3 linked regions of the Canis lupus familiaris genome follow. The protein of the gene in region 1 interacts with the protein of each later gene in a pairwise test. Links are inferred from orthologs where the notes say so. Each region holds a gene or a part of one and is shown on either strand. Other genes may lie near its edges. The genes, in order: NDUFAF3, NDUFAF4 and SNRPA.

What was found.
Region 2: the proteins of NDUFAF3 (region 1) and NDUFAF4 interact in binary tests that used the Homo sapiens proteins (3 or more experiments, as listed by UniProt). The two-hybrid records come from large-scale screens. The link is inferred for Canis lupus familiaris from reciprocal best matches to the Homo sapiens genes NDUFAF3 and NDUFAF4.
Region 3: the proteins of NDUFAF3 (region 1) and SNRPA interact in binary tests that used the Homo sapiens proteins (3 or more experiments, as listed by UniProt). The two-hybrid records come from large-scale screens. The link is inferred for Canis lupus familiaris from reciprocal best matches to the Homo sapiens genes NDUFAF3 and SNRPA.

The regions. Positions count from the first base shown.
Region 1 is NC_049241.1:40,548,096-40,551,558, forward strand, and holds NDUFAF3 (NADH dehydrogenase [ubiquinone] 1 alpha subcomplex assembly factor 3), read right to left. Parts: upstream 2,179-3,463; 5' UTR 1,673-2,178; coding exon 1,596-1,672; intron 1,501-1,595; coding exon 1,308-1,500; intron 1,150-1,307; coding exon 1,083-1,149; intron 971-1,082; coding exon 870-970; intron 791-869; coding exon 674-790; 3' UTR 524-673; downstream 1-523. UniProt on the Homo sapiens protein: Essential factor for the assembly of mitochondrial NADH:ubiquinone oxidoreductase complex (complex I).
Region 2 is NC_049233.1:55,577,860-55,582,239, forward strand, and holds the start of NDUFAF4 (NADH dehydrogenase [ubiquinone] 1 alpha subcomplex assembly factor 4), read right to left. Parts: upstream 2,915-4,380; 5' UTR 2,838-2,914; coding exon 2,702-2,837; intron 2,216-2,701; coding exon 2,088-2,215; intron 1-2,087. UniProt on the Homo sapiens protein: Involved in the assembly of mitochondrial NADH:ubiquinone oxidoreductase complex (complex I). May be involved in cell proliferation and survival of hormone-dependent tumor cells. May be a regulator of breast tumor cell invasion.
Region 3 is NC_049222.1:113,804,922-113,808,565, forward strand, and holds part of SNRPA (U1 small nuclear ribonucleoprotein A), read right to left. Parts: intron 2,518-3,644; coding exon 2,338-2,517; intron 1-2,337. UniProt on the Homo sapiens protein: Component of the spliceosomal U1 snRNP, which is essential for recognition of the pre-mRNA 5' splice-site and the subsequent assembly of the spliceosome. U1 snRNP is the first snRNP to interact with pre-mRNA.

The sequences.
Region 1 (3,463 bases):
ATATCACAGATGCACACAAACACAACACTCATTTGTAGGGAAAGTCTTCAGACCCGGAAGCCAGGATATTCCTTGGATCTGGAAGGAGATACTAGTTCTAGATTCAGAAAGTCCCTCCTGAGCAGCTCACAAGGTAGGTCTGGCCAGTTCTGGCTCCTAACGGTTCAGTCTCACATTGTGGCTGCTTAGGACAGGTCATGGAATAGTCCATGGGGGCTTTGGACTGGCACCCATTGATAGGGCTTCCTGCTAGGCCACATGGGACCAGGCTAAGGCCCACATATGTAGTCTCTAACTTGAATCTCCAAAGGACCTTGTGGAGAAAGCACTGAGAGCCCCTCAAACCTGCATGTGAGCAAGTTAGGTAGATTTGCAGTTTTAACAGGTGCCTACACTGTCTCCTGCCTCTGAGAAGCTAAGTAGTCTAGATAAATAGGGGATCCCCCTTGATTTTTTCACAACTCCCACCATGAGCCCACTGAACCTGTGGCTCCTCCTGGCCAGCAACACATCTAATACAAAATTGGAAAAGTGGATTAAATTATTAATTTGCTGGCAAGAAAGACAAGAGTTACAGTGCCAAAGGGGGAAGGGCTAGTGAGCGCTGCAAACCCCTGCGCTCTGGAAAAAGTGCCAGGGCCTTCCTGGACAGGTTAGGTCAGTTCTTGCTGGTTCACTCTGGAGCTTGTGCCAAAGATGTGAGCATAGTCCCTCCAGGTGGAGGAATAAGAGCAGCTCCTGTTACTCGGCCTTCATGACACAGGAAGTTGAAAGTGGCACAGGCATTGGGCTGCAAAGAGAAAGCCTGCATCAGCTTGGCTAAGGCCAGGCCTGGGCCCTGCTCAGCACTCCCCAGTGGCAGGACTTACCGTATCCTGTACTTCCACCGCGATGCCCCGCTGCTTCAGGGCTTGCAGCACCTGGGGCTGCAGCCGTTCAGTCCGGTCTCCGGTGCCCACCACAACAATCTCTAGGAAAAGACGACCACCACTAGCCAATGGCAGGTGTGTGGGGAAGCTGGGGCGGGGTGGCTTTTGGCTTTCTAGGGCTGGAAGCACCTCAGCCCTCCCCTTCACCAGTACCTATTCGGGGCTCCAGCAACCAGAAGAGCGAGAAGCTTTCTTCGATGATGTCCCGGTGAGTTCCTACCTGTGTTGGGAGGAGGCAGGTTAAACACAAGTTCGCGCAGTTTTCCCCACAGAGCCCTTACCTGCGCCGCAAAGGGGTAATGAAAAAGCCAAGTGTGCCGGGGACAGAATCGGGGGGACGGGCCTGGGACCCTGGCCCTCCGCCTCCTCACTGCTCACGTTCCACTGCACCACCGAGTGCGGGAGCAGCGCGCAGGGCCCAAGGACGCGATTTCCATTGACCATGAAGCCGCGGCTGCTGTAGCTGTCGATATACATGGACTGCGGGGACTCGCGCTGCAGCAGGGAGATGCGCGTCCGCTGATACAGCTCGTCGTCCGCCGGCGTGAGCCGATGCCCTCGCCGTGGGACCCTGCGGAGGGGTATGCTCAGGGCCTAGGGGGCCAGGAGGGGCCGGGCCGCGATCGCCGGCCGAGGGGTGAGGGCAGGAGAATCAGGGACGCTCACCACAGCAGCTCGGCTGGGGCGCAGCGCAACGCCGCTTGCGCTCGGCATAGGCCGCGAAGCACGAACGCGGCGACCATGGCGGACCAATTTGCAGGGAGGCCGGCGCTGGGTCAATCGGGTCGTGGCGGAGCCCACGGCGGCGTGGCGACAGCGCCCCCTGCGTCCCGGAGGGCACCGCGCAGGTCGGCTGCTCCAGCGCAGGATTTTGAGGGAGTCAACTGATGCCAATTGTCCCAGGAGGGCCCATCCCCCAGCGCGGCTCCGGTGTCTGCACCTGCCGCCCGCCCCGCCCCGGGCCCCCGCAGACCGTCCTGGGGGAGTCAGACACCTGGTGGCGCGGCAGGCCTCAGAGTGCAGCCTCGGCCCCCGCCACAACCTGGTCCCCGGCTCTCAGCCATTACGCAGGGCTCTTGGGGACTGGGGCGGAGCGGCCGCGCACCTGGTCGAGTCCCGCACACCTGCTCAGGGCGTGGGGGCCAGCCTCCAATCCCCTAATCCCAGGCTTTGGGGCGTCGGGTTCCCAGGGCGGGGCGGCCGGCTCAGGTTCCCCTCGCTCTCCAGCGAGTCACGCCCCTCCCTAACCGTCACCCGCGCGACCGTTGGCGTCGCCGCCGCGCGTCTCCTGGGGCGTGGCTGCGCGTGGATTGGCTTCTCGGCAGCGCGAGGGGGCGTGGCTGATTGGTTTCGCCTTAAAATGGCTCCGAGTCTGCGGCCGCGGCCAGCGGAAGGGAACGCAGTAGTAGGGAGTTTGTGGCTTTTCGGGTGGGATCGACCGGGCCGACAGGACCAGATACTGAACTAGACAGCGGCTGGAGCATCTCCCTGTCGTCGCTCACTCTGCTCGCGGCCGAGAATTCCCCGCCCCCCGTCTTGAGCCGAATCAGAGGGCCTACTGGCGCGAGAGTCGCTGGCGCCCGCGCGGGTTTCAGGCATCTCCGCGCCCCCACCGTGTCGTGGCCTCAAGGGAACGTTGACGCGTCTGCTACCCACGGGGCTGGGGGGTGGGCGGAGGGAGGTTCGGCAAAGCGGAAGACGGTCGCAATGGAGCCCGTGGGTCGCGTCGCCGCTACTGGGCCCCTGGCGGTCCGGGCGCTGGCAGAGTCACGGGACAAAGGGCCCCGGGTGCGGGGTGTCACCGAGGCGGGTGCGCGGGTTTACTTCCTCTCCGGCCCCACAGGCAAGTTTCTCTTTTGGTCGATCCCGAAGCCCTCCCTGCCACCGTCACTGCACGGTGGCCTGGCTTCATGGGACCAGCAGGCGTAATCCTACCCTGCGGGTCTAATCCGGATCGGGACCGGTCCCAGGGGAGGCTCCCACCAATCTTCCTAGTGTTTGGGGGCCCAGGTGAGCGCCTCGTTCCCACTACACTCGGTTTTACCCTCACTCCTAGGTCTGTCTTCTGGTACTGGGAATCGGGGGTCCTGATCTGGCCCCAGGGCAAGGGACCACCACCACCCCCGCTGGGGCATACCTATCGCCCCCTCCCTCCCCCCGCCCACGGCTGGACAGCGGGCAACGGAATCCCAAAAGCAGCTGTTGTCTCCAGAGCATTCCAGCTGCGCTTGGATTTCGTTCCCTGCTCTCCTGCCAGAGCAGCGTCCTGGCCTAGATGGGGTGGGCCAGCTCCTGACTCCCAGACCTATTTTATTTGGGTCGCCCTGGTCTCCGCCCGTCTCAGGGGCTCCCTCAGGCTGGAAGTGGTGGGCGTAGATGTCGGAGAGCCTGGGTTGTGATCATCTCTGGAACTTGGAGTAGCATTGACAAGGGAGGGCGGTCGCAGGGCCTTCAGTCAGGGCGGCAATGGCGGTGAGTCCCACAGGGCCACCCCAGCCCACAACTCGCTATAGATAGCCTTTCATTTCCTGGGG
Region 2 (4,380 bases), on another chromosome or scaffold:
TCGAGTCCCATTATCAGGCTCCCTGCAAGAAGCCTGCTTCTCCTTCTGCATGTCTCTCTCTCTCTCTCTGAATAAATAAATAAAATAAATAATTTAATAATTTAATAAATAAATAAAATAAAGTCTGAATAAATAATAAATAAAATCTGAATAAATAAATAAAATCTTAAAAAAAAAGATCTCCACACACCAAACACTACACTTATTGCCAAATAAAGATTTTAATATAAAACACACAGTTGTAAAAGTACAACAAAGAAATACAGAATACTGTTTTTATTAGAGTCCAGACTTCCAATACGACGAAGAGCAAAAAGGTTAACATGTTTGACAGAATTCTCAACAGCAGTTAAGTTAAAAAAGCCACACAAAAATAAATTATTTGACATACGATATCAGTAATGTCTCAAGACTTCACAAATCATTAAGAAAACTAGGAACTACCCAAAAGAGAAAAATGGACAAAACATAAATAGGTACACTTCAGCAATTTTTTCACTGCCATTCCCCCCAAGTCTTTTTAGTCTTTTCCTAATATCCTAATACCCCCATAAAAAAATTTTTTTAAGGTTTTATTTATTCATGAGAGAGAAAGAGACAGAGAGAGAGAGGCAGAGACATAAGCAGGCCCCATGCAAGGAGCCTGATGTGGGACTCGATCCCGGGTCCAGAATCAGGCCCTGGGCTGAAGGTGGCACTAAACCACTGAGCCATCCGGGCTGCCCTCCCACCTAAAATTATAATACCATTGTGTATCTCTTTATGTATTGTATCTATGTAACTGTATTCATAAAAACTGCTAAGTTTTTTTCACTCCCCAAGGGCCAATTTTTGAATGCATGATTTAATACAGCATGAGATAAACAACAGTTGGAAGTATTACTCAACACCTGTTATTGATGGAAGTACTCAACACAAAGAACATGAACATCAACCCTTCTATCTTTTTTTATGGGAACATCTGGTGATAAATGAGCCCTATAATTGGTATTACATGTAACAATTCACAGACCTTATTTTACATGAATTTTATTTCACTTATCTAATGAAAATTATATTAATAAGTGTATCTGTGCAAACAGTATTGCCTGTCTAGACAGAGAGGGTATCAGAGAATTTTAGAATGGAAAGAAATCTGGGAATTGTCAATGGCACTTCTCTCCCCTTTAATCATACTCTCCCCCCAACTTAGGACCTTCCTGCCCCAACCAACTCATCTAGTTAACTCAGACTCATCTTTCCGGCAGGAGCTTGAATGTCACTTTCTCAAATCACCCAAACCAAACACAAACAGGTCCCTCTGATACACTTACAGTGCCTCTACTTTTCCTTCACAGACCTATTAGTAACTACGTACTTATGGTTGCTCATTTGTTTGTCTGCGTCCCTCACAATATTCTGAGCACCAAGAGCAAGGACTAGGTCTGCTTTGCTCACAACTATACACAAAGCACTTGTGCCTGGCATTTATATATGGATTTATATATAGGTTCCTATTCCCAATGTGTTCTGTAGGCGCCCAATTTTCACATTTCCTATCTGAATACCTTTAAAAAAAAAGAAAAGAAAAACACCGACAACACAACACTAAAGGAATCCCGCAGATCGCAACAAAATTCAATCCACTGAAGGCTGAGAAAATAGTTATTAAAGCTCTTCTTCGGTGATTCAAATGACAACCACCAAAAGTACTGTACCAAATCCTATAAACTGTGAAATAATATCACCCCTACACTTAAGTTTCCCCAACACACTGTACTCTGGTCACAACTACACTGACAGTTTTACACGTGCAGAGCATTCAGTCTCTTTTACTACCTACCACAGGTCTCCTGGTCGTTTTCCTGGGGCACAAGGGGTTAAATTACTTAACCTGCTGAATTATAATTATTATTTTTTAAAGATTTTATTTATCTATGCATGAGAGACACACAAGGAGAGAGAAGGAGAGGCAGAGACAGAGGCAGAGGGAGAAGCAGGCTCCATGCACCGGGAGCCCGACGTGGGACTCGATCCCAGGGCTCCAGGATCAGACCCTGAGCCGAAGGCAGGCGCTAAACCGCTGAGCCACCCGGGCTGCCCCTTACCTGCTGAATTAAAACACACGTTACCTGCAGAGAAGATACAGGATCTCTGGAATCAACATACACATCTCTTAGTAACGACAGCAGTTTGTCATCTTTCCTGTCGATTTCCTCCTTGATTTCCGGATGCTCTAAGGGCAGAAGAAGAAGGTCCCAGTATTAAAACCAGAGAAAATTTCCTCCAAGCTCCCAACGCCTAACAGGAGACGATCCCTTTTAGTTTGTCGCTTGATCCAGAGGCCCTGGGACAACACGCCAGGTGCTGGGCGCGTAAATCAAAACGCCAGGTCAGGCTCGGCGCGCCCGGCTCCGCGAACGCCCGAAGGGGGCACCTCCAAGGCCCCAGACCCCTTCCGCTTCCGGATTCCCCGCAGCAGGTCGGCAGGCGGGGAAGACGCAGGGGTGCCGGGGCCGCACCCGCACCCGCACCCGCAGAACCGCGACGTGAGCGGAGCCGTCGCTCCGCGGCAAGGGCAACGGGCCTCCCCAATGGCACGGGCCTGGGGTCCCGCCTTTCCGCGCCGGGCTGCCGAGTCCCCGCCGCCGCCCCGGGTCACCCCCGCGCGGAGCCCGCCCAGCCGGCCCCGGGCGGACCGACGCGCCCTGCCACCGCTTACGGCTCATCTGCTCCCGCAGGAAGCTCCTGGTGGACGGGTGCCTGGGGGCGGGCGACGGCTTCATCCTGCTGATTTCCCGTTCCGCCCGGTTCTCCAGGTTGAAATTGCGGAGCGCGCGAGCCGCGGCGGCCCCCATCTCCTCACCGCATGACGTCCTCCGGGGCCGCCGCACGTGGGCCAGCGCGCGCCGGCGACCTCGCGGACGCACCGAGCATGCGCGCTGCGGGCCCGACCCGGCCACGCCGGAAGAGCGGCGGCCCAACGCGCCCGCGCGCCCCCCAGCGGTCGGGAGGGCGCGCGGCTCGCCTCCGCCCAGGCGGTGCGGGAGGGAGCGGGCGCCCCGGCGGGAAGCCCCAGGGCAGAGCCAGGTCCCGCCTCCCCGCGCGCCGGCCCGGGGCTGCCGCGCGCTCGCTCCCCGCGGGGCCGACGCTGCGGGCCGAGACTGCGGGCCGGGAACTTGACCTTGCGGTCCACCCGCCCACGGGCCGGGGCGGCCGGAGAAGAGCCAAAGTGAAGCCAAGTGCCCCAGGAGACGGGGCTGCGGAAAGCGCCGGTTCCCAGCCCGGGCGGCACCTGCCTGCGGCCCACGGCGCGGTCCTGCGGGCCCGGGTTCGAGCCCCGCGTCGGGCTCCCTGCAGGAGGCTGCTTCTCCCCCGGCCTGGGTCTCTGTCTCTCCCTCTCTCTGTGTCTCTCATGCATAAATATATAAAAACCTCTTTAAAATGCAAAATAGGGATCCCTGGGTGGCGCAGCGGTTTGGCGCCTGCCTTTGGCCCAGGGCGCGATCCTGGAGACCCGGGATCGAACCCCACATCGGGCCCCCGGTGCATGGAGCCTGCTTCTCCCTCTGCCTGTGTCTCTGCCTCTCTCTTTCTCTCTGTGTGACTATCATTAATTAATTAATTAATTAATTAATTAAAGAAATAAATAAAATGCAAAATAGATCTAAAAAATGATTTAAAAATCTCAAAAGTGTATTCTTGCCCCACGAATATTTGTTCTCACGCTTACTTAAATGCCCTTTGTGTTCCTGCGTCCTCGCCTGATGCCCTTCTGAGCTACCTTGTTCTCTTTCTTTCGAGGTCTTTCACATCCCGCTCTGCTCAGGCAATTTGACTTGACGGAATCGGTTTCAATCATGTTGTCCTCTCTCTGCGGTTTATTTTTTTTTTTTTAATTTTTTAAATACTTATGAGAGCCACGGACTGAGACACAGGCAGAGGGAGAAGCGGACTCCTCGCAGCGAGCCCGATGCGGGACTCGATCCCGCGACCCACGGGTCACTACCTGAGCCAAAGGCAGATACTCAACCACTGAGCCACTCAGGCGTCCCTGGATGGTTTTAAACCAGTGAAAAGGAAAGAATCCATCTAAAGATAATTGAATAAAAGTACTTTTTAAAAAAAAAGAATCAAAGAAAGGGGCAATTTTATTTAAAGAAAATTAATGTAATTATTAACTACGATACTTAATCATAGTGAAAGTACTGCAAAGAACATAGCTTCCACCATCGATTATCATGAAATGTGTCTTTTTTTTTTTCTTTTTTTTTGCTGGGATTGGCCTTTGGAATGGATAGAAGCTGACGCGTTCTCTCTGGTAGAGTTGGGAACTTACCTGAAGGTGGCAGGCTGCTCCAAGATTTTCATCTTTGAGACTTAAGCAGGCCTGTAACTCGG
Region 3 (3,644 bases), on another chromosome or scaffold:
CCAGCTCTGTTGACATAGAAGAAAGAAAACAACACTGGAAAAAATCGAATGCTAACAACAGTCAACAAAAAGAGCGAAAATAAACACTATAATGAGTATGCTGGAGTTTTACTTCCAAAAATACACTTGGGGGTGGGGGTGGGGGTGGGAAGAGACCTACAGAGAAAAAAGGAGCAGACAGTGGAAGGCAGAGATGGACAGGGACAGTCAGGACAGATGGAGAAAGCAATGGAGGGGTGGCAGGGAGGTGGGAGCCAGCCAAAGGGCACAAGGTCATGCACCCAAGGGAGACAGGGCCATTGGAGCTGGAGCCACCGCTAAGGACTCAAAGGTGCACATATAGCTGGGTGCAGCGGAGGAGAGTGGGGAAGAAGAGGGAAACTAGACAGAGGGAAACCCCGACATCACTGCTGACACCAAAGAGTGAGAACTGGTATCAGTGAAAGGACAAGTACGGTGTAATCCGGTCAGCAGAGCCACTGTGGGGACTCAGAAATGAGTAGAGGCAATTCATCTATCTTAAGTACTTCGTGCTTTCTCGATTCTGTTTTACAAAACAGGATGTTTCTACTTCTCATGCCTTCACAAAGTTCCTTTTTTTTTTTTTTTTAATTTTTTTTTTTAATTTTATTTATTTATGATAGTCACACAGAGAGAGAGAGAGGCAGAGACACAGGCAGAGGGAGAAGCAGGCTCCATGCACCGGGAGCCCGACATGGGATTCGATCCCGGGTCTCCAGGATCGCGCCCTGGGCCAAAGGCAGGCGCTAAACCGCTGCGCCACCCAGGGATCCCACCTCACAAAGTTCCTGAAGAGATTTTCCTGTTTCCTTCTAGAATCTTTATTGTTTCAACGGCCACACTGAGGTCTACTATTCATCTCAAACTAACTTCTATGGTTGAGGTAGGACTAACACTTTGCCTTAAAGACATCTGATTCGTCCAGCACCATTTATTAGCAAGATAAAGTCCTTTCACCACGGGAACGCAATGGTGCCTTCACTGGCTGACAAACATGCCTGTGTGGACCGGACTGACTTCTGGACTCTCTTCTGCCACCTGGTCCCTCTTCTTCCCCTCAGGCCAACATCTCACCATCTTGATGACTACAGCAGCCTCCCTGCTTCATTCTCCTTGCCTTTCCACATACCTGTGGAAAGACTGCCAGCATGCCCAGAATTCCTGTCGGCATTTTGATTGGAATTGTGCTGAGGGTTAGGCCAGTTTGGAGGACTGACATCCTAACAAGTTTGTTTTAAAATTTAAATTCAGGGGGGATCCCTGGGTGGTTGGGCGCCTGCCTGAGGCCCAGGGCGTGATCCTGGAGTCCCAGGATCAAGTCCCACACATCGTGCTCCCTGCATGGAGCCTACTTCTCCCTCTGCCTCTCTCTCTGTGTTTATCATGAATAAATAAATAAATAAATAAGTAAGTAAGTAAGTATTTCTTAAAAATTTAAATTCAGGGACACCTGGGTGGCTCAGCGGTTGAGCATCTGCCTTTGGCTCAGGTCGTGATCCCAGGATCTGGGGATGGAGTCCTGCAGCTCTCCCTCTGCCTGTCTCTCATGAATAAATAAATAAAATTTAAATCCAATTTGCCAATATATAGTATAACACCCAGTGCTCATCTTATCATGTGCCTTCCTTAAAGCTCATCACCCAGCTACCCCATCCCCCTCCACCTCCTCTCCTGGAACCCTTTATTTTCCAAAGCTAGGAGTCTCTCATGGTTTGTCTTCCTCTTTAATTTTTCCCCTCCTAATAAGTTTTGAGTCTCCCATCCATTTGCTGAATTCACCTCCCATTTCTCTCAGAGATGCTCTGTACTTTCAGTGAGTATATTTTGCTTACCCTTCATGGGATTTACTCCTGAGCCATTTTTAAATTTGGAGGCTACTGTTTGCTGCTAGCACACAGAAATAAAACTGACTTCTTCCACACTGACCTTCTCTCTGATGACCCTGCTAAATTAAATTCACTAATTAATCCCAAAAAGTTGGTTCATGGCTTCTTCTGGGTTTTCCGCATAGACATTAACTTAAAAAACATAGACAACAGGATCAAAGTCAAGGGAAGAAAAAAACTAAGGAACAGAGAGACAGAAAGAAAGATCTGAAAAACAGGCAACCACAAAGCCATTTCCAAATGTAGACTCCATCACGCAGGTGCATAATCCCTCACAGTGAGGTGCACAATTTCCATCAGAAAATGGAAGGGGAGAGTGCCCAAACCCCTGGGGAGACCACCTCCACCCTCCACCATGCCCACACGCCAGGCCACACAGCTAAGGAAGGCCTGATGGGAGAGAGGGCAGGGTCTCTCAGCCCTGGCTTACCGGGACAGGGCCCTGGACAGCCCCCACCACAGGGGCGGCGGCCCCACCCTGCACAGCCTTCTTGGCTGCTGGGGTCTCCTGGCTTTTGGGCTTCCTCTTCTCCCGCTTGCGGTCCCGCTCCACGAAGGTACCCTTCATCTTGGCAATAATATCCGAGTCAGTCTTGGCATACTGAATGCGCTGCCAAACAAAGAGCAGAAGGTTAAGGAGTGTATCAAGGCCCAATCGCCTGGGTACAAAAGCAGATCTTACCAGAAGCTCAGTGAGCAATGTTATGGAAATCACTTGGCCTCAATATCCTCATCTGTAAAATGGTAACTGAGATTTTCCACTGGAAAGGAGGACTGTAAGAACTAAATAAGCTTAAGTGCTCTGAACAGTAGCTGGCACAAACTAGGCATTCAGTCAGTAAGTTGTTGGGATTTTGAAGGGAAGATGGGACAGTCCCGAGCATCAGGCCAAAGGCAGATGCCTGAAGAAACAAGGCTAGGAGAGGAACACTATGCAGGGGGGTTCTAGTCACACAGGAGTTTAGATTCCCAGGCGAAAGCTGATTCTCAGTGGTCTACGGAGAACCTATACTCTGGGGTACAGCAACGAGTGTATCAAAGGTCCCTGCCCTCATGATCTCCTTGGTGAGAAAGATATGATGAAAAAGATTAAAAACAAAACTGGAAAAGGGGATGGAAAATTTCAGAGGCGCCTGGGTGGCTCAGTGTCTGCCTTCGGCTCAGCTCATGATCTCAGAGTCCCAGGATCGAGTCCTGCATTGGGCTCCCTGCTCAATGGGGAGATGGCTTCTCCCTCTCTCTGCTCCTCCCCCTGCTCATGTTCTCTCGCTTGCTCACTCTCTCAAATAAATAAAATCTTAAAATAAAAAAAAATAAAACATAACCCCAGAATTGAAAGTTTCAGAGTGTGGCTAAGGCAGGCCTCAGTGAAGTGACACTGGCATAGAGACAGAGGGAGGAAGGCCTGTTAAGAGAAAAGCATTTCAGTAAAGGGAACAGTAGAACTAAGGTGTGCAGTGTGTGTTCAAGATCAATGGGGATGAGGAGGGAGGAGACAAGATCACAGAGGGAAGGGTGGTCCAACTTGGGTTTTTTTCCTGAGATAGCTGGGAGCCATGGAGTATCTTACGCAGAGTGAGATTTCACTGGTGTGCCAGAAGCAGCCCTGGGGCTGTGTGTGGAGAATAGCCCACGGGGAGCAGGGGTCCAAGCAGAGACCGGGAAGCCACAGGGGAGGAGGGGGAAACAGGCAGTGGTGGATGTCTCCAAGGCAGGGTCCCCACTGTCCCTGATAGA